4 linked regions of the Caenorhabditis elegans genome follow. The protein of the gene in region 3 purifies or fractionates together with the protein of the main gene of each other region. This does not show direct contact. Each region holds a gene or a part of one and is shown on either strand. Other genes may lie near its edges. The genes, in order: got-2.2, alh-10, K12C11.1 and gta-1.

What was found.
Region 1: the proteins of K12C11.1 (region 3) and got-2.2 fractionate together in Caenorhabditis elegans (co-fractionation; one large-scale study listed by BioGRID). This does not show direct contact.
Region 2: the proteins of K12C11.1 (region 3) and alh-10 fractionate together in Caenorhabditis elegans (co-fractionation; one large-scale study listed by BioGRID). This does not show direct contact.
Region 4: the proteins of K12C11.1 (region 3) and gta-1 fractionate together in Caenorhabditis elegans (co-fractionation; one large-scale study listed by BioGRID). This does not show direct contact.

The regions. Positions count from the first base shown.
Region 1 is NC_003284.9:6,239,295-6,245,753, forward strand, and holds got-2.2 (Aspartate aminotransferase), read left to right. Parts: upstream 1-1,688; 5' UTR 1,689-1,709; coding exon 1,710-1,965; intron 1,966-2,015; coding exon 2,016-2,564; intron 2,565-2,782; coding exon 2,783-3,222; 3' UTR 3,223-3,415; downstream 3,416-6,459.
Region 2 is NC_003284.9:7,137,399-7,145,419, forward strand, and holds alh-10 (Aldehyde dehydrogenase domain-containing protein), read right to left. Parts: upstream 6,244-8,021; 5' UTR 6,180-6,243; coding exon 5,947-6,179; intron 5,287-5,946; coding exon 5,158-5,286; intron 5,114-5,157; coding exon 4,936-5,113; intron 4,893-4,935; coding exon 4,546-4,892; intron 4,277-4,545; coding exon 4,168-4,276; intron 4,128-4,167; coding exon 3,972-4,127; intron 3,925-3,971; coding exon 3,814-3,924; intron 3,768-3,813; coding exon 3,639-3,767; intron 3,304-3,638; coding exon 3,175-3,303; 3' UTR 3,106-3,174; downstream 1-3,105. Other genes in the region: ist-1 (IRS-type PTB domain-containing protein), read left to right, coding at 1-468, 1,379-1,523, 1,575-1,872; clec-86 (C-type lectin domain-containing protein), read left to right, coding at 2,503-2,591, 2,638-2,756, 2,804-3,096; Laminin-like protein lam-2, read right to left, coding at 7,536-7,619, 7,669-7,850, 7,902-8,021.
Region 3 is NC_003279.8:1,340,772-1,349,267, reverse strand, and holds K12C11.1 (Xaa-Pro dipeptidase), read left to right. Parts: upstream 1-4,575; coding exon 4,576-5,235; intron 5,236-6,541; coding exon 6,542-7,096; intron 7,097-7,631; coding exon 7,632-7,913; 3' UTR 7,914-7,996; downstream 7,997-8,496. Other genes in the region: Y92H12BL.1 (Threonylcarbamoyladenosine tRNA methylthiotransferase), read right to left, coding at 528-650; smo-1 (Small ubiquitin-related modifier), read right to left, coding at 8,184-8,292, 8,343-8,443.
Region 4 is NC_003282.8:10,177,223-10,185,401, reverse strand, and holds gta-1 (putative 4-aminobutyrate aminotransferase, mitochondrial), read right to left. Parts: upstream 4,743-8,179; 5' UTR 4,735-4,742; coding exon 4,695-4,734; intron 4,239-4,694; coding exon 4,129-4,238; intron 3,445-4,128; coding exon 3,375-3,444; intron 3,333-3,374; coding exon 3,235-3,332; intron 2,911-3,234; coding exon 2,572-2,910; intron 2,525-2,571; coding exon 1,862-2,524; intron 1,777-1,861; coding exon 1,645-1,776; 3' UTR 1,463-1,644; downstream 1-1,462. Other genes in the region: ptrg-1 (Tyrosine-protein phosphatase 4), read left to right, coding at 1-113, 164-299, 352-498, 550-1,018, 1,209-1,342, 1,393-1,452; mspn-1 (Mitochondrial sorting homolog), read right to left, coding at 5,461-5,616, 6,418-6,859, 6,914-7,088, 7,134-7,254, 7,298-7,432; rack-1 (Small ribosomal subunit protein RACK1), read right to left, coding at 7,572-8,102, 8,155-8,179.

The sequences.
Region 1 (6,459 bases), on a different chromosome or scaffold from region 3:
AAATCGAGAGAAAAATTGAGAGAAACAAAGGACTCAAAATGTTTACGGATGTCCACGTGAAAGTCACACAAATGTTGAACAATTTGTAAATTTGTAACACAAAGTGAATTACACAAAATTCGGGCGACAATCTAAAAGTAATTTTCAAAAAACTCTATCTGAACACTACAGGTTAGTGTGACGTGTGCTAGGTTTTGTTTATCAGAATTGAATGTATTGAAGTTTGCTCACAAGAGGTAATCCAAAATGATAACACTATACTCACAGGCAGTTCAGTTGTAAACGTTTTTGTTTCCAGATGTTAGAAAAATTTTTTAAACCATCTTACAATTTACATTTTATTTTATCGACCGTGGATGCGCTATAATTTCCGACAAGCAATTCAACAAAAAATAAAAATTATACCTTAGTTAAAGATTATAGAAAACTGGTTGCTTTATCTGAAAATCATTTTCCTTTTATTTGGAACAATCGAAAAAAAAACTCAAAAATTGTCCTAATCTTTGAAAATGACGGGAAAAAACTCCAACACTTTGGTGGATTCCTTTCCAGAATATATCCGAAATTCTTCACACAATTTTGAGCGGTTTTCCAAACGTCCAAACGTTAATATAAAAACCATTTTTCATTAACTTTTTTCTATGTTTTATATTTTTTCTGTACTTTAAATTTATTTTTTTTTGCTATCCCAAATTCAATTTTTGAAGTAAGACACCATCTTGAATTTTAAGACTTCCAATATCCGTGTGCCACCAGCACTTTTGACCTACCAACCTGTGTTCTCCGGCCGCGCGCGGACAATATCGAACCTTTGAGAGTGACGAACCACAACAACAACCAAATTTTTTTTCATTTATCTTGTTGGCCTCAGTTTTTCCTTGCCTTTTTACAGTCATTAGTCGCTTTTTTTCCGTTCATCAAAAATTCTTTGAGATTTTTTTTTGCGAACACGGTGCTGCTAATAGAAAAGTTTAAAAAATTATATTATTTAAACAAATAATTTCACGACCGAAGTACGGCGATTTTCTTATATTTTTTTTCGAACGCAGTTTACTTACTGTTTACCAGTTCTCGAGCGCCGAGTTACACAAAAACGACTGAATCGTCGAACCGCATGTTTCTCACGTTGCCGCGGCCGCCCGAGTTTTCCTCTGCCACCCTACACTCTCTCGAATCTCCGTACTCTCTAACCTAGTTTCTCCAGTTCTTCTCACTTGTCGTCTTCCTTGCCAGTTCGTGGACTGGGATAAGATGAGCAGACGCGTCCATTCTTTCATAGGCGGTGCAGTCGGTCCATTTTGTTGTTTCACATCAGTTGTTTTTGATAGAGTCAATAAGTTTAACTACAATTTTAGCCTAGTTTGATGCCACGCCGTTGCTAAAGGCTAGAAATGTGGTTAGTACCCTGAATGGAGTGTCCTAGGGTATCTTTTTTGAATTTAAAAAAAGTGTCCAATCAGCCCATTCAAACACCATTGAACACTCAAATAATTGTCCTGGTAAAGATAATGATACCCACGTTTTATTTTATTTTTGTTTCTTCGGATAAGGAATCATGCGTTGTACGTACTCTAGTCTTCCCTGCTATCAATGTTTCGTTGCTTCATTCTAATCGGAACGTGATTTCCACGCCTACTTTCAAAACGTCTTTTAAGTTCCCACTCGAAACATTAATATTGAATATTCAGGTAATCTTTCTCCAATCAACAATGAGCGTTTCCAAGAAGCTTTTCTCTACCGCCGTGCGAGGAAAGTCGTGGTGGTCGCATGTTGAGATGGGACCACCAGATGCGATTCTTGGAGTCACCGAGGCCTTCAAAGCCGATTCAAACCCAAAGAAGATCAACCTTGGAGTCGGAGCTTACCGTGACGATCAAGGAAAGCCATTTGTTCTCCCATCGGTCAAGGAAGCTGAACGTCAAGTGATCGCTGCCAATCTTGATAAGGAGTACGCCGGAATTGTTGGTGAGTGTTATAAACTTATTGATCCATTTGAACTCTTTATTTGTTTGCAGGACTTCCCGAGTTCACCAAGCTCTCTGCTCAACTCGCTCTTGGAGAGAACTCTGATGTGATCAAGAACAAGAGAATCTTCACCACTCAGAGCATTTCTGGAACTGGAGCCCTTAGAATCGGATCTGAGTTCCTTTCTAAGTACGCCAAGACCAAGGTTATCTACCAGCCAACACCAACTTGGGGAAACCATGTTCCAATCTTCAAATTTGCCGGAGTCGATGTCAAGCAATACCGCTATTATGACAAGTCCACCTGTGGTTTTGATGAAACTGGAGCACTCGCTGACATTGCTCAAATCCCGGAAGGATCCACAATCTTGCTTCACGCTTGTGCTCACAACCCAACTGGAGTTGATCCATCCCGTGACCAGTGGAAGAAGATCTCCGACATTGTGAAGAAACGCAACTTGTTTGTCTTCTTCGATATGGCTTACCAAGGTTTCGCTTCCGGAGATGTTGACAATGACGCGTTCGCTGTTCGTTACTTTGTCGAGCAAGGACACAACATTGTTCTCTCTCAATCCTTTGCCAAGAACATGGGACTTTATGGTGAGTTTACATACTAATTTGTTAAATTTGAATTTTACAAGCTGGAGTTCAATACGAAATGTATTGTTTTTGTGCAATAGAGCGCAGTTTCTTCTTGGTGTTGGAAGTTAGGCCATGATAACGCGGATATCACTGGTGTCGCATTATCCTATCTTTTCTACCCTTTTGTAGCCCTAACCCTGAATACTGCATAATTTTTATAATTTATTCTGTTTAAGGTGAACGAGTCGGTGCTTTCTCCGTTGTTACCTCGGACGCTGATGAGGCTGCTCGTGTTGCTTCTCAAGTCAAGATCCTTATTCGCCCACTCTACTCCAACCCACCAGTCCATGGAGCTCGCATTGCTTCCCGCATCCTCGCGGATCCAGCTCTCAACAAGCAATGGCTCGGAGATGTCAAGCTCATGGCTGATCGTATCATCACCATGAGAACTACGCTCAAGGATTTGCTCGCCAAGGAGGGATCTACTCGTAATTGGGAGCACATTACCAACCAAATTGGAATGTTCTGCTTTACTGGAATCAACCCACAACAAGTTGAGAAGCTTATCAAGGAACACTCTGTCTACCTCACCAAGGACGGACGTATCTCGGTGGCGGGAATTTCATCGAACAATGTCGCTTACCTTGCCCACGCTCTCCACCAAGTCACCAAGTAAATCAGTGACAAATGCACTCTTCCCATTTTAACTTATTCTATCTGTCATAATAGAATAATTTTCTCGTTTTCGGTTTTCTTATTCTCCGGTTGTAGAATGGCAGTATGCTTTATCTCATTTTTATTTGTAGCCTGTTTTTTTTCTGAGAATGGGAACTTTTAATAAATTGGGTTTCGACCTTAATCTTTACTGGAGTTGGTTATTGAAAAATGATATGCACGATATTTGTTTAGCAATTACGTTAATTCAATTATTCGATTCTGAAACGTTGTGTTTCTAACTGTTTTGAAAGAAATATAATTGTCAGTTTTCTGAAAACGAAAAATTAAAAAAAATTAATATCACTTTCAAATTTAAATTTATTTAGTTGGAAGTGTGCTTACAATGAATGGTATAACACGCACATATTTTGAGTTCTCTGAAACCATAAGATTTTCGAGGAAAAAGACAAAGTATTTTTATAAAATCAAATTATGTTAAATACATTAGAGAGTTAAATACATAATTATTTAACAAAATTTTCAGAAACTTTTCGACTTCAGATAAACGCATCGGTGTGGTTTTCTGAAACATGGGCGTAGAGTTCTGGTATTTAATTCTGCAAATTCAAGTCACGGTCATGGGTCAAAATAAATTGGTTAGAAAATCTATTTTTTTTTCAAAAATTATTTCAGCTTGTTTTCAAAATGCCTTATAAAAACTGAAACCAAAGATTACAAAATCATACCTGGACAGAACTCAAACTAGCCGTGAATTTTCAGATGGTATTTAGCTCGTCGCAAATCAACAACTTACTTCCAGTCAACTGCTCAAATAATATATACGAAATTGGTTCCAGTAGATTTCAAGACGATAAGTGGGATAAGCTGAGAAAATGGGCAAGCCTCGCGCAATGAATTTTCAGAGTCCAGTACTTCCTACGTTAATGGATCCTCCATTATATCTCAACTCGAAGTTGTTAATGAGCGCATCTATATCGGCCGCCGAATCAAGCCGACAACCATCCAATGGCGGGCCTCTACCGATGACGCCAAGCAGCTTGGGCTGCATAATTAAATTAAAAAAAAAAAAAACAAAAAGCATAATTTGAGAAAACAGGTTCCCTCAGTAACAAGAAAATCTGTTTGATTCTATTTGATTCCTCCAGTTCTTGCTGCATTCAAAAGTCCCAAAAAGGCTTCGGTGAAACATTTCCGAATGGGCAAAAATTACGCTGGTCTATCAAGACTGTAAAACTTTAGACTGCAGCCTGAAGCTTGAGGCATATACATTAAAACCTGAGTTTGATGTTCTAAGACTATGAACATCTCAGGCGGTATTGGGGATTTATATTTGAGAGATAAGCTTGAAGACACAACTTGACGAAAACAAGTTCATTGCCATGTTTAGACATATTCAGTTGAACAACACCCAGCCTGCCGTGTGAAAATAAAAATTACCATGAATGATTTTTATAATACTATCTTGTTTCCGATGACGATATTAAAGAAAACGTGTTGATAATTTACAAATCACTCGTGCAAACTGTGCTCACAATTACCTGAACATTCACTTGTATTTTTTTGGAAGCATCAACTTTGGTCGTTTATGCAGTTTTACAATAATGAGCATAATAATAACCGAACTAATGATTTTTCATAAATAATTCATGGGTGAGCATGGGTGATCTACCAGATTTGAATAACTATACTTCAATTTAAAACGTTCTTCAACCGATCCCCTATTTTTGTAAATCGAGAGTATTTTTCACCGTTGGTCAGTTTGTTTGTTTTTGATGCGAATTGCTGCTCCTTTGTTTTCTTTTTCTTTACAGAAACTGCAGTCCCGTTTGAAATTCAAAATCCCCCATATTGTCTCATAGAACAATGGGAGTTTTTTTTTCTGCAAAATTTGTTATCTGACGTGTACCAAATATCCAAGCGTAAATCATCAATTCAATTGAATTCAGGATTACGAAAGTGATGTACAGTTATTTGAGCAGCTTCACTTATTTACTGCTCGGCTCATTGACTCATGTTTTTTGACGACACACACATCAATCGTTTGGAGCTGTGTGCACACATTGTGGCTCGGTTTTTCCATTGTCGGTTTATGAAGCAAAAACGAAAAACCGGCAAAATAATAATCAACAGGCTGCTGTACAAATTATGAAATCAACACTTTCCGAAAATAGATCTCATAATTTCTGAATTGTATAGTACATCGGAGATCCATTGCAAGCCCGGAATAGATATGATTCAAATTATAGATACATTTTTCTGTATGAGTCCCTATTTTTGTACACAGTTCTGACGCATTTTCAATTTGTACAGCACTGGAAATGAATCATGGTGTTTCGAAATTATGTATCTGAACTAATAACTTTTAAAAAAATAGCAATAGTTCGGCGTTACCAAAGATGCTCAACTAGTTTTCCCATTTTGAAAGAACTTAGAAAGACTTAAGTCTCAACTGGAAAACTGTTAAAAAAATAATAGAGTATGGAAAATGTATAGATCATACAAAAAATTGAAATCAAAATATCTATAAAGATTACTACAAAATTTAGTCGAAGGTTTCAAGTACTCAATTTTTCAATTGGTACATCATCCCGAATAACGATGTGGGAAAATTTGTAAATTAACAAAGTAGTTTAAAATTAATTTGAAATGTTTTTACAGACTTCGTATTGCTGAATCTTCCAAAAACTTTCGAACAGAAGCATATTGTGTCAATTTTAGCTATCAAAGTAGCAAATTGATACAATACATTTTATTCCTTAATTAATTATAGCATAAGTTGGAGAGTTATTTCAGAATCATTTTCATCTACTTTTATGACCGTAAAATACTCATATTCCGCTCATAAAACTTAATAAAATATTGCATACATTTTGGGCTAGATACATTTACATTGTCTTTTTATGTCGTTTGTATTCATTTTTCCACCAATGATAACCAACCTTTGTTACATTTAGTTTCAAATATCTCATTAAAAATGAAAAAAAGACATAAAAAATAAAATTTTCATATGGAATGTAAAGCTTTCTAATCCCTTTTTCATTTCAATCCGACTTCAAATTATTTTATTCAAGAAGGAATAAATTAAGTTTGTTTAAGTTTTTTAATAATCCCTCATTTCCGAAAATATTCACCTGTTCTTTGCTGCAACCCACAAAGGTTTTTCTCATTAAAACACGTGAGCCAGCCTGAAAAGTCAACACTTATTGAGTGAGTCATTGCGTGGGAGTGGTCGCCA
Region 2 (8,021 bases), on a different chromosome or scaffold from region 3:
GGTCCGCAAGAAGTAGTCCAAAAAGTCTACACACCCAGCGAACCAGTTCACCGAAAAGAAGATCGGACGAGGATCTGATCTCAATTGACTTTTCAAGATTAGGTAAAAATTCTGCATCAGATACAAAACGATTTCCTTTTGGTGGAGGAGGACCAGGAGGGTCCTTTGATTATGATAGAGAAAAACGGGAAAAGGAAGATAATAATAGACGAGACCGAGAAAAAGCAGCAATGGATTTGAAAAGAAAAGAAGAATGGGAAGCGAGAGAATTAGCGGAAAAGAAGAGGGAGTTGGAACGGAAAATTCAAGCAAAGAAAGATAGAAAATTGGAGAAGGGAAGAGGGAAAGATAGAGAAAAGGATAAAGACCACGATCATGATAAGGAGTTTCGTCCAAAAGCGGACAGTGGAATTGCTGATTGTACGCCCAGTTCAAGTTTTTCTGGGAAGAAAGATCACAAAAATGATGGTATGTTTTCAAAGGTTACATTTGCTTGGTTTTGTTCTAGTTTTACAGAAATAAGAAACCCACTACTTATACTGGTGCTGGTAAAATAAAGTTACGACATACGGGGTAGTGCTGAAAATCGCAAAAAGTGTGAAAGTTTCCCTAAAAATATTATTTTCTGAATATGTGTTTTATTTATTGGCTATATTGAACATTGTAGGAGTTCGAACATTAAAAAATTAAAAAAAAAACAACTTTTTTTAAATAAGGGTTTGAAAAATCTGCAGCATTTCGGACTTTTTGAAATAGTATCTCTGATATATTTTGAGTTTATTCAAGAAAAATCCCCATTGTCGGTACTCCACTTTACAGTAGTACAGTCTTTACAGTGTACCTCAAAGTTATAATTCTGAAAAATACAATGAAATCACTTTTGACTTTTGATTTTATAAATTTTGTGTCACAGAAATTTCACAATTACGTTTACTTATATCGATAAGAATTATGGTATTTTAAGGATTTTAAATGTGTTTTTTAGCTGTTGTAAAACTTTGGAAAAAAAATCAAGATGCATCAACATAAACTGTTTCGTATTTATTCTATTCACATAGCTCCATACTAACTACCAAAGGCGTTCGTAATGAAAAACTAATATACTAATTTATGAATAGTTATTTTGATTCGGATATTAACAGTTTTCAATTATAAAAGCCTAAATTCTAATAAAAAATGATTGAAACTGTTGATCAATTTAACAAAAAATAGTACCATTATTTGTTTTTTTTTAAATATAAACTAGGTAGGAAATATCAGAAAACGATTAAAAGTAACATCAAGTCAGTAAAATTTATGAATTTCAAGACTGAAACCCGGAGACTAAAGAAGAGCTGGCATACTAAGGTCGAATAAAATAGAATCGTTTGAAATTAAGGTTCTTCTGATTCTGCATACATGGACAAAGAAGGGTTGAAGTACTTGGCAGATATCAAAAAACGGAAAAAAGAGCAAGGTGCCATAGACACAACAAATTCCTCCTCCTCCTCGTTAAGCACAATAGTTTCGATTGAAGATAACAAGTGAGTGATCACAAATTAATACTCCCAAGTTCAAACGACACATTTTTGCAGAGTGACCAGAAGAATCACGGAAACCGTTGAAACAAAAGTTGTGACTGCGGATCTAGCGAAAGCACTTGGTGCAATTGACCCGAATAGAAGATCTTCAGCATGCATTGAGATAAATCGAAAACCATCGATTTGTACAGCAATAATGGAAGAAAGAGAAGGAGAAGCATCTGAGACCGATTCTAGGGGAGAACCATCCGACAGGAAGACGACCGCGGCCCCTGTAACTCGGAAACCTGCATCGACTGGCAGCAGCATGAGCCCGTTCAGAAGACTTAAATTTCTCAGCTTCAGAAAATAATTGTTTTAAAGGCTAAAAGTGAAACAGTAGATTTTGTCTATATACTTTAGTAAACGTTTTCCAAATTCTAATTTGTAACCTAGAAGTTTTTAAGCACCTACACAAAACCTCAAAAAATTGACCCATTTCATCTCTTTTTCTACTTTCCAATCTCAACCTTTCCTTCATTACCTCTTTCTCTACTCATTTCATTTTTAGTTACAATTTTTCCTAGTTTGCATTCCATCAACCACATGTCGGAAGTTTTACTGTGTTTTAATATTTGTGTCCCGAGTACTTCTATTTTTGAGATCTAACAACAAATTGCCGTTGAAAGTTCAATTGTCACACATTTCTTTTTCTGAGAATTTAATTCTCGCTTTTTGATATTTTTCAATGAAATGCGTTATTGTGCGAGTTGGGGATTAGAGGGGAACAAATCTTATCAAAATCAGTCATCAAACGATGATAACACAGACAGATGAACATTCCAGTCTCATCTATGAGTTTAATTTTTTTAAATATTTTAACTGCAAAAAGCACTGATAAAAGCTTATAATATTGTGGGAAGAATACGGAGACGCCTTAAAATGGAGTATATAAATAGCTGTGATAAGCAGATAAAATTTATTATTTTACTGGACACTGAAAATGCTTCGTGTTTTGTTCTTTACTCTTGTCGCGCTTTTGTGTTTTGTGTCACCAAATTGTCTTCCTGGAGATACTCCATTTGAGATTTAGTAAGTTATTTATTGTTATAAATTGTCTCAATATCACATCTTTCAGTTGTTTTTCATACAATCGAGTACATGGAACATTCAATGACTCCGATGCTCATTGCTTGAAAACCGTTGGTGGAAGTCTGGTATCAATTCACAGCATGATCGAAAACAACTGGATTCAAAGTATGTCTTGAACATATGAATTTCTAAACCAAATACATTGATTTCAGAACTAGCTGTTGATAATCTAGATGCTGACTATGACTTGTTCTGGATTGGTGGAAGCGACGAAGGACATACAAATGACTGGAGATGGACAGATGGGAGCGTTTTGAACTTCACCAATCCCGGACCTGGACAGCCTCTTGAAGATCGTCATTGTGGAGCAATGCAACTGTCAACAGGAAGATGGTTTTCCGATTTGTGCACAGTTAAGCATCAGTTCCTGTGCCAGTATCCAAATGGAGCATATCCAACTGGAGGATCGTACACATGCCCACCATGTCCATCTTGTTCTAAATAACTTTTGATTCGAAAGAAAATATTTATATATTATGAGCTAAATTGGATTTTACAATAAACGGTTGCGATTCATGATAAGTTAGTACTTAGCAGCAATATTCACACAAACAGTTTTTGCATCGGAGTAAAAGTGGAGTGAGTCGTGGAGACCTTCTCTTCCATTTCCAGATTGCTTACATCCACCAAACGGCATGCTCAGGTCGCGAGCCTGAATTTTCAACATGAGAATAATTTAAAACCGAGAGTTGATTAACTATTGGAAAAGTTCCAAGTAGTTTTTAGTGACGCTTAGTGAAACAATTAAGCAGCACAGAATATCTATAAATTTTTTAAAAGCATTCTTTATTTTTGGTGATTTTCATGGATTCTTGGTACATTTACAATTAATTTAGTTTGGTCTGTAGCTACATGAACATCATTCCAAGCAAAACAAATTGGTCAATCGTCATGTTGTCTGTCTACCCACACATACCGCTCTTATCGTCCGTAATTAACTAGAACTTGGTCACACCCAACTCGAATTATCATCTCCCATTATCTTACCAGCCAAGTGTTGCACCAAACTGTTCCGGCTCTCAGCTCGTTGGCCGTGTTTAACAATTCATCACTATCTGAACTCCAAACTGTTGCTGACAAGCCATAGGGAGTGGAGTTTGCGCGTTCAATTACTTCCTGTGTTATCAGAAAATACTTTAAAACTTGTAACATCATAACATACCTCCGCTGTGTCGAAGGGCGTGATGCACACAACTGGACCAAATATTTCATCTGTCATAACTTTCGAAGCGTCATGCAAACCAACAATTACTGTAGGTGTAATAAAATAGCCCTAAAATTTCAAAGATTAGCAAGGTTAACTAATAACATCTGACTCACATTCTCACACCCATTTTGAATGGTCGTCACGCCTCCACAAAGAATATCGGCGCCTTCTTTTTTGGCAAGCTCAATGTAGCTTTTCACTTTCTCGTAGTGCACTTTTGAATTCATGGCTCCGATTTGAACTTGAGTAGTTGGATCTCCCACAGTAAACTAAAATTAGAATTAATGAACTGAAAAATGTAATGCAAACCTTCTTAGCTTCTTCTACATAACTTTTAACGAAGTCAGCAAAAATTGGTTTTTGCACAAAAAGCCGACTTGTGCAGAGACAAATTTCTCCTTGGTTGAGAAATGAGGACCTATAACATTATCTAGTTACAAATTTGTGCCTATTTGGAAGTGATATCATTATGTTACAAATTTTGTATAGATAAAAAAGGATGATTTGGTAACATCAAATTACGTCAACTGTCATCGTGACGAGAATTAGTTTTATCAGTTTTAATAAACATATTATCCTTACTTTGAACCACAGTGTTTGCACAAAAAGTTGTGTTTTTTTCAAATTTCAAACTAGGTATCTACACATGATGGGCAGAGTAGACAGAACAGTTACAATTTCAAATACCTTGCAATTGAAGCAATATCCGACTTTCGGTAATTAGAGTAAACTATTCCAGGATTCTTCCCTCCCATCTCCAGAGACACTTTTTTATTGAGCTTCGCACCATCTTCTTGGATTTTCTTTCCTATTACCGTGCTCCCAGTGAAACTAATGAGTGGAACATCGACATGATCAACCAATCGTTGTCCAGCACTTTTTCCTTCGCCAATCACCATATTTACGACACCAGGAGGAAATCCAACTAGTTTGAATGCATGCATTAAAACCCATGCAGTAACACTAGTCATCTCACTTGGTTTACAAACTACTGTGTTTCCAGCCACCAATGCGGGAGCCAATTTGAACGAAAGCTAAAAACAGTTGTAAAAAATATTTTTCGAAGTTCGATTTTACCAAGTAAAGGGGAAGGTTCCATGGGCTAATAAGACCAGCAACACCTACAGGGTCATTTTTCACATAGTTAACAAATTTTCCTGTAGGTTGCTCGAGAATGGTTGAAGTTGATAGGGAGTAAAGAGCAGCATTTGCAAAATCTCTAAAGTTTTGCACACAACGAGGAATATCCATCACTCTAAACAGGAATTGGAGTTATTATTTCAAAAAAGGTTCACTCACTTAGCCAGTCCAATTGGCTTTCCTTGGTCACGGCTCTCCAAAATAGCGATATCATCGTTAAACTCCTCTATGAGATTAGCAACTTTATTGAGAAGTGCTGATCGTTGCTGCACTGTTGTTTTTTTCCAGCTGAAAATGTTTTGATTTGAAAATTAATTTTTTGAGTAGTTCGAGGATTTTTTTGGGTTGGACACAGTTTCAATACAGATTCTCCGTAAATTTGCATAATAATGCGACATGAAATAGTTTGGAGATTTGCATGATAAAACTGGTGTACAAACTTCAAAAATATTTATAAAAACTAAACCTGACAATTAAAACTTTGAAAATCTGATTTTAAATTTCCAGTTTTGAATATAATTTGTAAAAAACTAACAAATACACATACAATTAAAGGTGATGCAGTAGAATTTTGTATTGCTGTAGTAGACTTAAAATTTTATGAAAACACCAAATTTAGTCATTAAACTTCTACAAATCTTCTCAAAATAAAGTTATGGCGGCTTAGAAAATGACATAAAGTTTGTAAATATTTAAAATTCGACCTACGTGGCATTGTCGCAGAGGCTGGAAACAAATTGTTATAAAATCGCTGTCTAATTTTGGGTATACAAGTTAATTATCATGTGTTTTCAACTAGATTTATGTAGGTATTTTAAGGTCGATGGATCTATTAATTTTTAGCCGGGAAAAATTGTTAGTTGTTAAAATGGTATAGTTTCAAATAATTTATTTTGCACTGCTTTAAGAATTGAGCAATATTTGGTTTATTTAAACACAAAAACTTACGTTTTGAACGCTTCTTTAGCGGCTTCAACCGCTTGATCTACTTCTCTCGCAGTCCCGTCTGGTATTTTGATCCAAGGTTTTCCAGTCGAAGGATTAACTGAGTCCATTAATTTCTCCGATCTTGCAAATTCATTTCCAATAAAATTTGTCAATGGGTCGTGTTGTTCATTGGGGGAATCGATAAGCTTTTGAAGAATATTTTTGAACTCCTCGCGATAATTCAAAGAAGCCATTTTGAGTCAATTTTGAACCTTGTGTTTTTGGTAGAATGAATAGAATTGTTCGGTATGTTCTCCTATCTCTGCAATATCATCATCTCTTATATAGTTCTCATCGATCGGCACGAACAACACCGAGTATCTATTCAAGGTCAGTATGCAATGCAAAAACCTTATGATGCATGGTTTGTCCATGGTGTGCCTACAAAGATAACATTGTTGTCATATTTGTAGTCTGGAAAATATTCTGAAAACTTAAACTGTATTTCGTAATTTCATAAAAAATTTTAAAATTGAACGTTTATAAAAATATTAATTAAAACAAATAAGAAACTGAAAGCGTTGGGGAAATCGATGTGTTGGTGGCAAAATTTGGTATGAGATTTCGGATAACAAAAATGAATTTGGTATATTTTTTAAATAGAGAATCGTTGATAAAGGAAATAGTTTAGCGTGATAATTTAGAATAGTTGAACAGTTCAACATTATCACAAAATAATAGGAAAGAAGACAAAAAAACAGAAGATGCTTAACAAAATTTTGCAAAATTTCATCAAGCTGTGCACGCGTTTGGGCACCGGGGAAGGTGAGGGTAATGTGACAATAAGGCGACAGGAAGAGGAAATTATTAGTTATGGGAACAAAAATAATTATCCCGGCTCAACACGTAAATTAATAATAGAAGTCGATCAGCAATTTAAACGTATTTTATTAGGTAGACAAATAATTATTGACGTATTTTGTCAATTAACAATTTTTGTAAATTTTGTATGTGTGTCTTATAGTAAAATGTGAATGTATGAAAACATAAAAATATCAGCTACTTTGGCTACCTGCGTAGTATTAAGAATCTAAAAAATCAAAAATTTTTTGAAAAATGCTTTTCGCGATTTTTTGAGTTAGCTGTGAAGAAAATATTTCCAAGAATTAATCAAAACTAAAAAATATCGTATTTTTGTGCGGTTTGCTTTTTGACTTTGATTTACTATTAAGTTTATGGAATGGCTCAATTGGGTTGGGATTCATTTTTTGCATTAAGCAAACAGAACTTAATTGATTTAGATATTAACATTACAACTCTCACGGCTAACTCAAAAAATTGGAAAAAAAACTTTTCGATTTTTTCGAATCGTATTACTACTCAGATGACCAAAGCAACTGATATTCATATGCTTTTATACACTCTCGGTTTACTGTAAGAGACACATATAAAATTTACAAAAAATCGTTAATTGGCAAAACACGTCAATAATTATTTGCCGACCTAATAATTTTTAAGGGCTCTTTTTCAGATATTTTAATATTAGAGTTAATAAATTATCTGATCGATTTTCATAGAAAAAGTTTGATAGAAAAATTATAAAGATTATCTTATTTCTGTCCCTCTTGCTCCAAATTGATGACATTGAAGCATTTGGTTGGCAAGTTGTCACGGATTTCCTCTAGGTTCAAAACCTGAAAAATACAGTTTAATTATACGAATACTATAGCCAGCAAAACAAACCTCCTTCTGGAGCTCAGAAATATCATTTTTGAGCTGTGCCACCTTTACGTCCTCGTCAGCGCGGTATTGCTGATACGTGGGAACTTCCTTGGCAAGTTGTGCCTGAGCCAACAATTGATCAAGTCTGTCAATTTCCTCCTCGAGCTCATCTAGCTCCGCGTTGTTCACTTCTTCCATGGTATCTGAAATATGAGTGACATTAAATAATTGACTGAGCTAAATAGTGTTCTTACCCAAAGAATTGATGATTTTCTTGATTTCATCTTCCTCAGCGAGAATGGTAGCATTTGCTTCGATGGCAGAATTCTTGGCAAGAGTTGCCTTGCGGACCGCTTCAGTAGCCATTTGCTTAT
Region 3 (8,496 bases):
ACGGCGGTGCCAGAACCTAAAAACGTAGATCTTGTTTTGGTAGATCTTCTTCTCGTAGATCTTGTTTTCGACTAGATCTTGGAAACGTGGTGCCTCGAAAAATGACGGAAAACTATTAAAAGTTTTAATATAGCCGAAATTTCGATTTTTGGTTTAAAAAAAATACATTTTGGTTATTTTTCGATAAAATTTATTCTGAAAATGAATATTTTTCTCGTCAAAAAATTACATTTTGAGAGCTATGACTAAAAATTTTAAAATAAAATCCAAAAATTATATGTTTAAGAAAGCTTAAAAAAAATTAAAATTTAAGCTATAGCTAAGCTAATTTTAATTTTTTTTCCTAATAATTTCAGTTTTGAAGTTAAAAAATTCAATTCTTTAATGTTTTAAATTAAGTTTTGAATTAAAAAATTTTAAAAATGCTCAAAAGTTTTTGAGAGGTTCAAAATTCCGGAAAAATGGTTAAAGCTTTAATTTTGAAAAAAAAAGAAATAATGCACCTAAATTGATCTGAATTCTCTCACCTTATTGCCCTTCAACGTCTCGCCAACAACTTCAACAATTCGATCAATCTGCTTAACACCAACAATCGAAACATTCTGAAGCCACGGTTCACTTGGTGCCGCCTGTGACACACATCCAGCCATAATTATCTTTTTCCCCTGTTCCTGACCCTGTACAACGAGATTATTGGCCTGTTGTTCGGATGGTGTCTTCACTGTACAACTATTCAGTACCCATACTTGTGCGGTTTCGGGCTCTGAAAATGAACGATTTTTTCGCGGTTTTCTTCATTTTTTGATTTGCAACTTAAAACATAATTTGTCACACTGCAACTTTTTCTTCACGAGGGACGAGGAAAAGTGGTTTCTAGGCCATGGCCGAGGGGCCGACAAGTTTCAGCGGTCATTTATCTTGCTTTGTTTTCCGCCTGTTTTCTTTTGTTTTTCACAGATTTTTCCCGTTTTTTCTTATTAAAACTGATAAACAAATATTTTTTGCAGATGCTAAAACATTTTCCAAGTCAAAAAAAAAATGTATTCAGTGGGCAAGCAGCGGTGAAAGTGGGCATTGTAATATGATGGATTACGCGAATACAAAACCTAAACTTTTTCTGAAACATGATACATATGATGCTTAAATGCTGAGACTACCTGATTTTCATAACGAGACCGCTGAAAAAGTTTTGAGGTTTTCAAAATTCAACTTTTTTGGTGAAAAACCCAACTTTTCGCACAAAAAAGTTTGAATTTTGAAAACCTCAAAACTTTTACAGCGGTCTCGTTATGAAAATCAGGCAATTTCAGCATCTAAGCAGCATATGTATCATGTTTCAGAAAAAGTTTAGGTTTTGTATTCCCGTAATCCATCATTTTACATTGACCACTTTCACCGCTGCTTGCCCACTGAATACATAATTTATTTACTTGGAAATTGTTTTAGCATCTGCAAAAAGTATTTATTTATCAGTTTTATTAAGAAAAAACGAAAAAAAGCTGTGAAAAACAAAAGAAAACAGGCGGAAAACAAAGCAAGATAAATGGCCGCTGAAACTTGTCGGCCTCTCGGCCATGGCCTAGAAACCACTTATCCTCGTCCCTCGTGAGGAAAAAGTTGCAGTGAATTGTAGTATTTGTACTCAAACTTCCAATTATTGCAAAAGAAAAACGGGAAAAATCCGTTAACATTCAGCATTTTACTCAGAAAAATCAACGAAAAACCATTGAAGTTTAACTGTAGAAATCCTAGGCCATGGCGATCATTCGAATTTGTATTTGGTTTGGCATTGTCGTTTGAAAAAATACTCAATACAATTCCTTCTTCCCAGTTATCTCAACCTTTTTGAGAAAAAAAAAGCGAATAAAGTTCGAAAAAATTGCATTTAAATTAACATTTTGTTTACGAGTATGGCCTAGAAATCGCGTGGTGGCCTAGGATTCATTTGCGCGCGCGAAATTCAAATTCAGCCACTTTCGTCGATTTCAACCGCTAAATGCTGAATGTTAACGGATTTTTTTCGTTTTTCTTTTGCAATAATTGGAAGTTTGAATACAAATACTACATTTTAAAACAATTTTCCCATTGATGATACTCCTTTAAAGTTTGACGGTTATTTGAAAAAAAAAATAGTTTCCAGCCGCTTGACAAGTCGGTCAAATTTCAAATTTTAACTAATTTTAGCCTATTTTTTTGAGCCGTCATAACTTTTTTTTTGAGAAGTTGAAGTATTCAAGAAGTTTCATTATGAAATTCGGTGTTTTCAGACTATTTTGAGTATAATAAAGCAATTTAAAAAATTTCGACTACACCACTTTTTTTTTTTTTAGAAAATTTTTTTTCTAGCTTTTTTAAACCTGTGTTCGTGACTGGTAGAAACCCACAAAAAACCATTATTTGTTCCATTCTTTTTCTTTGTATTTTTTTTTCTCTCATATCAATTGAAAAACGATTGATTCTTCTTCATTTCTGTACTTACATACCACCGCTTTATTGTTTTTACCTGATTTATGGTCCTGGCACGAACGAAACTTTTTTCAAATTTTTATCATTTTTGTTTAGTGAAAAATTGGAAAATTTACGAAAAACTATTTTTTGAAAATCTCAAATATTGAGATTTTTTTAATGCAAAAAATATTAAAATTCGAGATTTTCTTTCATATTTTTGTAAATTTTCAGCATAGTTTCTGTGAGAAAATCGCTCATTTTTGGATTAAAAAAATTAGATGTTTTACAAAAAAAATACTTTCAAATTTTTTATTTAAAATCGAAAAAATCCGAAATTTGGGTTACTGTAGCTGAAAAAGTTGGTTCGTGGCAGGACCCATGTTTTCACCAATCAATTGGTAAAATTTCTTGGGTTGTCTGAATTTTCCCCCACATTCTTCCCTAGAAAGGAGTCTTATTATAAAAACCCATATTTTTTTTGTTCGATGTTTGATTTTTATTCAATTTTATCGCCGATAATATTGATAAATGCATAATAATCTTATATATGGTTGCCGGGTCTTGCTGCGCTTATCAGCAATTCTCTCCTCCATTTCATTACTTTTCCACTTGACATTTTTCGCGGGCTTTCGGACTGAAAAATTCCAGATTTTTGAATTTTTTATTCAAAAAGTTTAGATTTTTTTCAAATATTTAGAAATCCACGGGTCTCACTAGCCAAAAATAAATTGATTAAACTGATTTTTCCCTATGAAAAATCAAATTTTATTCACAATTTTTGTATTTTTTTTAGAAGAAATCCACTAAAACCGCACTTGCTTTTTAAAAAATCGATATTGCAACTTAAAATTCAAAAATTCCAAGTTTTTTACAATATTCCGGTCCAAAAAAATCGATTTCAATAGAAAATCGATTTTTTTTTGCTCGGAAATCTACTAAAACTAAAAAATTAACGGCATTATTGCAAAAATCGATAGAAAAATAATTTTTTTTGTCCAAAAAATTAAAATTTCTAAAAATATTGCAGAAATATTACCCAGGCGCAAAGATTTGCGATATTTGCGCTAAGAACTACTGAATCCGGTCTCGACGCGACGAATATTTTTGTTAAATGCTAAAGTGTGTGCGTCTTTAAAGATTACTGTACTTTGAAACTTTTGTCTATTTTGCAATAACTACAGTAATCTTTAAAAGCGCACACACCTCTTCGTATTTAACAAAAATTTGTCGTGTCGAGACCGGATACCGTAGTTTTTGGCACGAAAATCGCAAAATTTTGCGTCTGGGTAATATTTCTGCGTAATTTGATTGAGGTGCACGGGAAAATTGAATTTTTCAATTTTTCGCTCAGAAAACCAAAAAATAAACAATATTTTGAGAAGTGATTGTATAAAACATCTTTTTTTTAAAAGAAACTTCAATTTTGTTGGAAAAAAATCGTTTTCTATCGATTTTTGCAATAATACTGTTAATTTTTTGGCTTAGTGGATTTCCGAGCAAAAAAAAAATCGATTTTCTAGTGAAATCGATTTTTTTGGATCGGAATATTGTAGAAAACTTGGAATTTTTGAATTTTAAGTCGCATTATCGAGTTCTTGATTCTTGAATAAAATCTAATATTCGATATTTTTGAATTGCTTTTTTCAAAAAGTTTTACTGCGAAATTGAATTGTGCAAAAATTTTCGATCGTGTCGAGACCCAAGCCTACTACACGTGGTGCCAGGGGCTGTCCCATTACGGTTTGATCTACAAAAAATGCGGGAATTTTTCGCCGCCCAGAAAAAAATGTGACGTCAGCACGTTCCTAATCATGCAAAATCAGTCTAAGATCTCCCGCATTTTTTGTAGAACTACGTAGATCAAACCAAAATGAGTCCCATTTTGCGTTGATCTTCGAAAAGTGCGGGAGAAAAGACGCAGGCATCTCATCTGATTTCGCATGGTTAAGAACGTGTGCTGACGTCACAATTTTTCTGGAAAAATATTGCCGCATTTTTCGTAGATCAAGCCGAGATGGGACGCTCCGACCCTTCGCAATTTTGTTTTAAGTCCAAAAATCGTTTTTTTTTTGAATTTTTTGCAAGTAATAATTAATAAAACCAAACAATTCAAATCCAATTTTACAGATGACATTCCAGCTCAGCGAGAAAACATTCAAAGTCCCTGTCGACCTTTTCACGGAAAATCGCCATCGCCTCGTCGACGCGCTTAAATCCAAGGTTCCAGCTAATTCAGTAGTTCTTCTGCAAGGCGGCGTCGAAAAGAATCGCTACAACACAGATGCCGCTGATCTTCCATTCCGTCAAGAATCCTACTTCTTCTGGACGTTCGGTGTCAACGAGAGCGAATTCTACGGAGCAATTGACGTGAGGTCCGGCGGAAAAACGACACTTTTCGCTCCCCGCCTCGACCCGAGCTACGCGATTTGGGATGGAAAAATCAATAATGAGCAGTTTTTCAAGGAGAAATATGCGGTTGATGAGGTGGTATTCAACGATAAAACCACGACGATCGCTGAGAAATTGAAGGAATTGTCTGCAAAACACGTTTATTTGCTGAGAGCCGAGAACACTGATTCCGGAGATGTGCTCGCCGAGCCGAAATTCGCTGGAAGTGGAGATTTCCAGCTTGACACGGAGCTTCTCTACAAGGAAATGGCCGAGCTGAGAGTTGTCAAGACGGAGAAGGAGATTGGTGTGATGAGATATGCTAGTAAAATCGCGTCGGAAGCTCACCGAGCCGCGATGAAGCACATGCGGCCAGGGCTCTATGAGTATCAGCTGGAGGTAATTGATCGGTTTTTTTTAACTGAAAATGTGCAGAAAACCGAGGTTTTTGACTTAAAACCATGAAAATATCGGGTTTTTTCGCGAAAAATTGGAATTTTTGGCTAAAAATAACCAGAAAATCCAAAATTTGAGGTTTTTGGCTGAAAATATGGGACAATTTCGATTTTTCTAACAGGAAAATAACCAAAAAAATCTATATTTTCGACGAAATTGTGCAAAAAATTAAGATTTCTCACTGAAAATTGCTTAAAAATCGAGATTTTTGACTTAAAACCATGAAAATATTATTTAGGGTTTTTTCTCGAAAAATTGGAATTTTTGGCTTAAAATAACCAGAAAATGGAGGTTTTTCTCGAAAAAATTATACTTCTAACCGTAAATTTGAGGATTTTGGCTGAAAATATGCAAAAAATTGAGTTATTTTGCAGAATATAAAGAATTTTGACTAAAAGCGCCTGAAAAAATCCAAAAAAAAAATCGGTTTTTTGCTTGAAATGATCGAAAAATGTAGATTTTCGACAAAAAAGTGTGTGAAATGGCTAAAAATGACCAAAATTAATGTTTTTTTTTTTTGGATAAAAAGTGACCAAAAAATCAATATTTTCCAGTTTTGGTGGTGGTAAATTAGACGTTTTTGGCTGAAAATATGTGAAAAATCTATATTTTCGACGAAATTGTGCAAAAAATTTAGACTTCTTACTGAAAATGGCTTTAAAAAAACCAGATAACCAGATTTTTGGTGTGAAATTGTTGAAAAAAAAATTTCTGCCAAAAGTGAGATATTTGACTGAAAATGACCAAAAATTCCGGTTTTTTCATCGTAAATTTCAAAATTTTGGCTGAAAATGACTATTAATCAATATTTTCCTGTTTCGTGATAAGTTTTCTAGTTTAAAGTAACAAATCGACATAAAATTTGGCTGAGATCGTGACGAGACCCCCCTCTTCCTAGAAAAACAGCGTGTGCCTTTAAACTGGCGGGTCAAATTTGTGTGCCAGATGCCAGGCAATGCGGGAATTTTTTGCCCAACCATGATGCAAAATCAGTTGAGAACTCTGCGCGTCTCTTTTTCTCCCGCATTTTTTGTAGATCAACGTAGATCAAGCCGAAACGAGACACTCTGAGACACCGACGTGCTAGTGTACTCCTCGTGAACAAAACTTTAAATTATAACAAATCTTAAAAATTTGGCTCAGATCGTGGCGAGACCCCCCCCCCCCCCCCCCCCCCCCTCCCCCAGAAAAACATCGTGTGCCTTTAAACTGGGACAGAGATGCTCAATAACCAAAGCGTGAATTCCAGAGTCTGTTCCGTCACACATCCTACTACCACGGAGGCTGCCGACATCTCGCCTACACCTGCATCGCCGCCACCGGCTGCAACGGCTCAGTGCTTCACTACGGCCACGCGAATGCTCCAAACGACAAGTTCATCAAGGACGGCGACATGTGCCTTTTCGATATGGGACCCGAATACAACTGCTACGCATCAGACATCACCACCTCATTCCCGTCAAACGGAAAATTCACCGAAAAACAGAAAATCGTGTACAACGCTGTGCTCGCCGCCAATCTTGCCGTCTTGAAAGCGGCAAAACCGGGCGTTCGCTGGACGGATATGCACATTTTGTCGGAAAAAGTGATTCTGGAGCATCTCAAGCAGGCTGGGCTCATCGTCGGCGACATTGATAAGGCTGTGGAGGCACGTGTAGGCGCGGTCTTCATGCCTCATGGATTGGGACACTTGATCGGGTTGGATGTGCACGATTGTGGAGGATATATGGGTGATGCGACGCCGAGATCAACGCTTCCCGGGCTCAAGAGCCTCAGAACGACGAGAACGCTGATGGAGAGAATGGTGAATAGCTCTGCAACCCGTCAAAACAGTCCCAAAACAGTAGATTTTCGGAAAAATCGATAATTTTCGCAGAAATCGAGTTGGCAGAGCCCTGCAACCCGTAAAAATTGTGGAAAAGCTGACTTTTTTAGTCAAAACTGTCCCACGGGAGTAAATTTTTCGGAAAAATCGATAATTTTCGCAGAAATCCAGGTGTCAGAGATCTGCAACCCGTTAAAATTGGAAAAAATTGACTTTTTCAGTAAAAATGGTTCCAAAGCATTAAAATTTTCGGAAATATCGATAATTTTCGTGAAAATCGAGGCGGCAGAGCTCTGCAACCGTAAAAATTGTGGAAAAGCTGACTTTTTCAGTCAAAACTGTCCCACGGGAGTAAATTTTTCGGAAAAATCGATAATTTTTTGAGTTTTGAGCTGTTAAAGCATGCAAAATGCCGAAATTTTATCGAAAAGTAGAAAAATTAGCCCCGCGGAGCTGGAAAATCCAGAAAACCTCAATTTTTCCGAATTTTCACGTAAAAATCGATATCTTCCAGGCAATCACCATCGAACCCGGCTGCTATTTCATTGATTTCCTGCTCAACGAGGCGCTCGCCGACCCGAAAAAGAGCGAATTCCTCGTCAAATCCGAAATCGACAAGTACCGCGGATCAGGCGGCGTCCGTATCGAGGATGACGTCATCATTCGTGCTTCTGGTAACGAGAATCTGAGCGATCTTCCACGAACCGTCGAGGAGATCGAGAACTTCATGGCTAGTGGAGGCGAATGGACGGAGAAGGTCATCGAATCTCGTGTCTCTGATTTCTTGTCCAAGTGATTTTTTGTCTACTGATTCTAATTTATCATCATTCCTACTACTATTACTGTGTTATTTTTTCATGTAAAATAAAATTTAATTTTTAAAAATTTGGGATTTTCCGAAAACGAAGAGTTTATTTGTAAGATAAATAAGTTATTTTAAACTTTTTTGGTTGTATAATATGATTCGAAATGTGGAAAATAGATTAAATGAGACAGAGAAACCGAGTATCTCAGTGGAAAAGGGATGGATGGGTGTTTGTTTTCGGATTAGAGTGTAGGTAGAGGACTAGAATCCGCCCAGCTGCTCTTGGTAGACCTCGATGACGTCATCGTCCTCCATCTCGAGCGTCTTCGGTGTGTCATCGTCGTTGATGCGACGTCCGTCGAAGAGGAAACTGCAAATATTTAAAGTTGATAGGAATTGGCGCGGATTTCCAAAACTCACCGAAGACTGTTGACGGCGACACCGGTTCTGTCAGCGTACGACTTCTTCAGCTTGGCCATAGAGGTTCCATACTTTACACGGAAGTGCACTTCGTTGCTGTCCTGCAATTTTTTTGGGAATTATTAACAAATTCGCGGCGAATTTCCAGTCAAAT
Region 4 (8,179 bases), on a different chromosome or scaffold from region 3:
CACTTTATGGGATGGCCGGATCATGGAGTTCCTTCGTCTGTTTTCCCACTTTTAAGCTTTGTTCATTACACTTCCGATATTCATTCCACCGGACCCGTTGTAGTTCATTGCAGGTATGTTATTCTGAAATCCGAGAATTTTAGTTTTAATTTTATATTTTCAGCGCCGGAGTTGGTAGATCTGGTTCATATATCCTTGTTGATAGCATGAGAAGGCATTTGATTAGTTTCCGAAGACTCAATGTTCAAGGACATTTGACACATATGAGAAGACAAAGAGCGAAATTGGTGCAGACTTTGGTAAGAATATCTACTTTCTTTGAAATCTTAGTATCAAAACTTCTGATTTCAGGAGCAATATATTTTCTGCCACGAAGCTATCCGGCAATTGATTCGTCACGGAATCACACGAGTTCATTCAGACCTTTTTATGAGATACCTGCATTACTTATCCGAAGAAAATTTGAACGGAAAAACAAGAATGCAGTTGCAATTTGAGGTTTGTATTAGATATTTTTCTAACTCCTCTCAACTTTAGTATTTATTCAAGGATATCTGTGATTGCAAACATCAACCTCGATGTCTAATTGAATCAGACGTCATAACACTCCCAGGATACCATAGATCTGATGAATTCATGGTCGGATCATGGGGTAATGAATGTGAAGATCTTTGGAGATTAACATGGCAACAAAAAGTTCAAACAATTGTGATTCTAAACCAACGAGACTCGTTTTGGAGAAAACTTCCCAGTTGTATATACGATGGTGAAATTCAACTTCAACACGGAGATAACTTTGTCCTGCTCCAAAAAGATGATCAACAACTGTGTGTTCGAATTGTGAATGTGTCAAGAGCAGATTTGGATACTGATTTTTGGAGGGAAATTGAAAATGTTCAAAAACAGAGGATCACTTATCATGATGCTCCATTGCTTATTCTGGCTCATAAATACCCACCAAGTGTTCCATCACCAACAGATAGTACTTCTACATTATCACTTTCTATTTTGTTTAATGGTGAGTATAGCTTGATATCTATCAATATTTTTGGTTCAAAAAAATTTTGTAACACAAATTTGGAGTTTATAAAAACCCCTTTGGTTCTAGTTTAAAAATGGTAGTGTGCGTAGAAACGTACATACTATGATCTGTAAATACTTTAAACTTTAATTATATTATATTTATAACAAAATTGATGAATATTCAGATGATACAGCACTTGCATTCAGTATTTGTGCAGCCACAACTTTAGCGTGTCAACTGGAGACAACGGGTTGTGTTGACGTGGTACAGGTTCTTTCATCGTATACCGAAATTCAGTGTGGTATTTTTGCCTCGAAGGTGAAAATCGAATTATCTCATTTTCCAATACCAAATTATTTTGTTTTCAGCAAGAAATCGAGATAATCTATGAAAAGATGTCACAGCTAGTCGGAGGAACACGTGTCTAAAAATTTATAAATTCAATTGGAATCGATCCGAAGTATAACTTCCCGAGAAGAAACAATAAAAAATCAATTTCCGGTGTCATTATAAATGAATATTTAATTTATTAATTATATTTTGAAATAATAACAAGCTAGATGGTCAGCGAAGCAAATAAAATGGATACAGCTTTAAAGAGAAAACAAAAGAAAAAATGATTACAATCCCTTCAAAGTCTTGTCGAGAAGATCGAAAGTCAGATCCAAATGTTTTTTGGTGTAGACGAGTGATGGACGGAAACGAAGTGAACGGTCTCCACATCCTCCACAGTGAAGTCCGTTGCTGATGGCCTAAAATTAAATTGAAGTTTAAGAAATTTAATATATAAATGTAAGATGGCTGAATTTGACATTTATCACTATTAATTCTGCTTACCAAGTCAACAAATTTGTCTCTCAAAGATCCAGATGGGAAGTCAACGGCGGCAAAAGTTCCTCTTCCTCTGGCTTGATCCAACTTTCCTCCAGACGATGCTTGAAGTTCTCCAAGTCTCTTTTGGAATTCAGCTCCAACTTCTCTGCTCTGCTCAATCAATCCATCTCTCTTAATAACCTCAACAGCCTTTTCCAAAAGAAGAAGCTTGGTCGGATCTCCCATCCATGTGTTGTAAATACGGTAAGCCTCCTTAACTCGGAGATGTTCTCCGTAGAAGTATCCTCCTGTCAAAAGTTTCTTTGAGAATGTGACCATATCTGGTGGAGAGCTCAAGTTCCAGTGATCATGAGCCCAGATATCTCCAGTTGCTCCACCTCCAGTTTGAACTTCATCAACAATGAATACAATTCCATGTTTAGAAGTAATATCACGGAGGCCTTGGAAGAATGCTGGACTTCCATAATGATCTCCACCTTCTGCTTGAATTGGTTCAACAATAATTGCAGCTACATCATTATCACGACGTTTCCATTCGGAAATCTTCGCTTCAACGTCAGCAAGACACTCCTGATCTTGCTTCTTATTGTATGCAACATTCTGGTCAAGTGGATACTTATAACGGGGGAACTTGGCAATTGGCCAGTCAAATGCTGGAATATCAACCTGAAAATAATTAATTAGAATTGTTTCGAAATAAAACTTTGAAATACCTTATGAATTGGCTTACTTCTGGTAACCGACAACATGCACAAAGATCTTCCATGGAAAGCTCCTTCAAATCCCATAACTGAAAGATTTGGAGTTCCTGGTTTCTGTTGATTCATGCAGCTTTCCAAATGAAGAGCATCTGGTCCAAGACCTCCTCTTCTCTGAGCTTGATACCAGATAAATGCAGTTTTGATTGCATTCTCGTTGGCCGATGTACCGCAAAGCATTGTTTGAACTGCCTTCAATCCTTTTGGAGCAATTGATGTAAGAGCATGAGAAATTCCATCAGCAAAGTCGGTACGTGGGAAGGATCCAAGAGCTGGACGAGAAACAAGAGATGTCTGAAAATTTATTTTCTAATACATTTCTCAACTTTTCAGTAAGTATCTTGTTTTCTTTAGTTTTATCCAAATATTACAGACAGGCAAATCACTTAATATTTAATTTTTTACTGGTTTCTAGGTGTACGGTTAATGTGAAAATATGGTCATTATGTGCCTTCCTCCTGCCTGCCTGACTGCCTACCGCCTAATTTCTGTATTTGTGCCTGAATGCGGATGCGGCGTAAAACATTTTCATGCGTACATGGAAGGCTAAGTTCGAATGCTCCAATTGATTGTAAGAGGTTCAAAAATTGATTTTGAAATCAATTTATAAAAACTCACAATCAAATGTGGCTGCGAAGCGACCTTAACCAAATCTGGATGATTGTATCCCAAAGGAAGAGATGATATTTGAGTATAGACATCGAGAAGTGCATTTCCTAAATTAAATCCTGGTGTGTAAACTGAAAATAAAAACTAACCATCAGCATCTACAACGTAATTTCCGAATGATTTCTCGTAGTCGACATGGAAACGAACGGATGTAGTTTGCTGAAAAAAAATTTTTTTAATTTTTATAAAATTTTGAAATCTCATATTGCATTTGGAATGATTCATATGTTTCATAACTACAGTATTTTTGACAATATGTATAAAATTTAAATTTCCTTGAAATATTATTTTATTTTTTGTATTATCAATGAAATTGAAGATTTGAAATTAAAAAAACTAAAATCAAATAATCAAAACTCCTGAATGTCAGTTGTCAGTTGACCAGAGAAAGTGTAATATTTCTGAGACGAATTTCATTCGTTCTGTGATAAGGGTAAGAATGTGATGTTCATGTAATTACGGAGTTGAGATGTTGGTTTTTGATTTGAAAATTGAACTGAATGGCTCGAAATTCTTCGCAATTGTGTGACCATTAAATAGCTAATAATGTTTTGTAATCTAAAATTATAATTTATCTATCTTATAATTCTTAATAATTTAGAATCAAATTGACAATGTTGAGCTTCTGTTGAGCAAGTTGTCAGAAAGTTCAGCCAAAGTTTTTGTTTGAAAAGTAATTTCAAGCGATTTCGCCACTGAATAATTGTCAAAAACTAAAACCAATACATAATGAGCGTATAAGATTTAGAATAGATATAAAAAATAAGTTATCACAATTTGAAGGTATTTTAAGGTCCATGATGTTTAAAAAAACCATTTAACTTTCGATATCTCAATTCTTACATGAACTTTATCCATTTCCTGTTTCAACGCCTTTGACTTTGGTCCAGGAATGCTCGTTGAAATACTAGGTCCAGATGGCTCGGCATTTGCAATCGCCGAAACTCCACGCACTAAAATAAACGTTTCAATTGAGTCAGAGCATTTTTTGGAAACATTCTCATGGTGTTGAAGTGTTTTAGTATTTTTTTAAAATTTCAGAAAATTTTGTTTTTTTAATCTTCCAAATTGAAACATGTGGTGAATATCAAAATACCTGCCAATTTACCAAAACTTCGATTTTATCGTTCAGTTTTTCTGATCTTTTCCCTATTCGGTTTTACTCGAGAAAAATCAATTGCCTTCGTTAATGTTTGTGATACTGATAAACTGATAAGAGAATCAAAAAAGTGTTGTTTGTTTCTTTTTCAATGTGTTTTAGGTCAAAGATGCAAGTAAAAAGGGTTGAAAATGAATGTATCTAGAAGAACTAAAAAGCTGCAGGTTAGGTTTTTCAAAATCAAAAATTATATGTTAAATTATTTCCTAAATAAATCCCAGTTGAATCCAAAATATATTAATTGGTTTACCCTGTTGGATTAAAGATGACTTTGCCAGTCTGGGAAGCATTCTTCCTTCTGAAAAAAACTATTCAAATTATTCGAAAATCGATTTGAAAAAAACAAAGAGAAAGAAGAGTAAAATTTGAAGTGGCAGGAGAAAACCGAATAATTTTTTCTCCCGTTTTCTCTTTTTAGGCGTCAAACGAGACGCAGAGAAAGGCAGGGGGAGGAGCTTATGTTTTTTAGTGAAGGAAATAAATGCGTTTTCTAGTGAAAATTGTTTGAAGAAGTAAACTGAAAAATTGGAAGCCAATGGAAGACGTTTATATTGAGCCTGTGAATGGTGTAAACTTGCTCCACGTTGTGCAAAGAAAAAGGCTCGCAGAGCACGAAGGGTGTAATCGGAAGGACAACTGACACAAAGAGATGGGGTCACGTGATCGATTTATTGTTTCTTCAGATTCTGGAGATATCGACAAGTGAAAGAAAAGAGAAAAAGAGAATACAATCTAACCGGTAATCTAAACGTACTTATTAAATCAATGCAATACATAAGAATAGGGAAGTAAAAAATCAGGAATCAGAAATATTAGTTTTTGAATCTGTTCTAGAAGCTCCGGGGAATAAAAAAAAAGATTTTCGATTTTAAGTCAAAGCACCGTTACATTTCTTTAGCTTTATACTACAAAAAGGTATAATAAATTGAGACCTACAAGAACGAATGGACTACTTTTAGAGAAAAAGAAATAGAAGTTTACATGAAATAAAACATTCGTTTCTTGAACTTTTAAGACTAATCAAGTGTTTCTTCAACAAGTAAATGTGCGGCTCTCATATATTTATGCACTGCTGACTCAAAATCGGACTGTTCCAATGGAAGAAGTTGATTTACGGAACCTCCAGAAGCTACAGTAGCTTTTGCTCGAGCGAGAAGAGCAAGACGACAAACCTGAAAAATTACATAACAACACGATTATTGGCGTTTCATTTTCCTGTAACATAAAAACTTAAAATTTTCGAACGCGTATTATTTTTTAAGCTAATTATTGTGTATCTAACTTCTAAATATTTTTAGATGATTTTGGAAGAAGTTGAAATAATTTAAATGAGTTTTTTTAAAATTAAATTCAAAATTGTAAGTTTTTTCAAGCTCACTATTAGAACAACTTGTATTAAATATATACAATTCTCTTCACTAATGTTTTTATTTGTATTTTTTTTTCCTTTAAGGTTACTGTAGACAATTATATTACATTTTATCATATTACAAATTACATTTTTCCTTTAAAATCCAATGCATTTTTCACATTAGAAACATGAATTAATTGTGAAACAGCAATTTATTCTCATGAAGCTCGCAAAACTTTGCGATTTCTGCCCCAAATATTCTCGACACGAAATTTTATGTTAACTATGAAAAGGTGTGTACCTTTAAAGAGTACTGTAATTTCAAACTCTCGTTGTTGCAAAAGTTTAATCGAGTTTTCGTAGTTTTCAATAAAAACACATATACTTATTTGCTGTTTCACTATTAATTCATGTTAAAAATGTATTGGATTTTATAGGAAATCCAAGATATATTATTGTCTACAATTTTTCATGTTGAACAGATTTATATTAAATATTTCGTTACCGAATTCCACTAGAATATATGTGACATATATAGCCACAAAGCGAACTAATAATATTACGACCATTTCGGGGATGTAATATATTTGATTAAAATTTTAAAAAGAAAAAAAGCACGAACCTCTTTCAAATCACTTCCACTAAGACCTTCTGCTGCCTGTGCGATTTCTCCGAGATTTACAGTATTATTGATCTTTTCATTCCTGAGAATCACATTAAGAATCTGACTTCTTTGCTTGGCATTTGGTACTGGAACTTGGAATCTTGCAGTCATTCTGCGTAGAATAGCAGCATCAACGTCTCGTGGACGATTTGTAGCTCCCATAACAATGATTTGATCTCCAGAACTAGAAAATCCATCCCATAATGTCATGAATTGTGCCTTCATCATTGCTGTTGATTCGTGATCATGAGATTGTCTGTCTCGGAGGAACGAATCAATTTCATCAATGAAAATAATTGTTGGTTGAAACTTTTGAGCAACAGAGAAAACAGCGGCCGCAAGTTTTTGAGACTCTCCGTACCATTTATCAGTTAGGTTTGACACTTGAAGATTGATAAATCTGAAAGGTAGCAATATTTAAAACAGGTCAATTCTGCATTTATGAATAACTAACCGGCATCCAGCTGCCCTTGCAACTGCTTTCGCTAAAAGAGTTTTTCCACATCCGGGTGGTCCATAAAGAAGAATTCCACGTGGAGGAGACAATAAATGACTTCCACTTTGCGATGCGAATCTCAAGGGTAAAATAATGCGATCCTTTAGTTCAGCAACAAGTTCTTCGCAGCCACCTGTAAAATTTTTCTTTTTTTTTGCGAAACAATTTTCTGTTCTACCGATCTCATCCCAATCTGCTCCAACGTCTTCTCCGCCAACAAACTGCGTGGCGATTCTAATTTCGTGCTCTGAGAGTTCTATTTGACGATCGATACCAAGTTCATGAAACAGCTGTGCCACCTGTATATTAAAAAAACAAAATTAGTGTTGTAAATCTACAAACCTTCTTTTTGCTTTCTTCATTCACACTATAATTTGGATCCAAGTACTTGACTAGATAGCGCACTGATAGAAATGAAACTGCAGCCGCCGCCACTACTCGAATTGCAACACCGATCAACTCATTACGATCCGTCATCTCTAACATAACAAGTATACCTTGCTGTTTTATCATCTGCTAGATATTCTTGATTAACGCGAATAATTTATCTGACATGGTTGAATACAAAATTATATCAACAATTTTATTGAAGGGTTTTGAATTAACAGGTAACAAATTAGTTGGAAGCACGGATCGACACCTGGTACACTCGGATGATGTTATCGGTGTATCCGGCGAAGAGGGTTTGTCCGTCTTGAGACCAGGCCAAAGAGATACACTGTGGGCTGGATCCTCTTGAGCTTCCAGAGCTGGCGATTTCTGGCTTGAGCTCCTCGATCTCCTTCTTGTCCTCGAGATCCCAGATCTTGATGGAAGATCCGACAGCGGCGCAGAGCCAGTATCTGTTTGGAGAGAAGGACATGGCGTTGATGACGTCGTTTCCTGGAAGGGTGTACAAGTGCTTGCCCTCGTTGAGGTCCCAAAGCATAGCTTGTCCGTCTTTGCCTCCGGAAGCACAGAGGGAACCATCTGGAGAGACGGTAACGGTGTTGACGTATCCGGTGTGACCGATGTGGTTGGTCTTCAGACGGCAGTTTCCGAGGTTCCAGACCTTGACAACCTTGTCCCATCCTGCGGAGACGATCACTGGATCGCGGTTCGATGGAGAGAAACGAACGGTGGAAACCCAATCGGTGTGGCAATCATCCTAAACAATAGTTTCGATAAATCTTCCTATAAAAGAATTTGAAAAAACGTACAGTGATGGTGTACTTGCACTGGGCA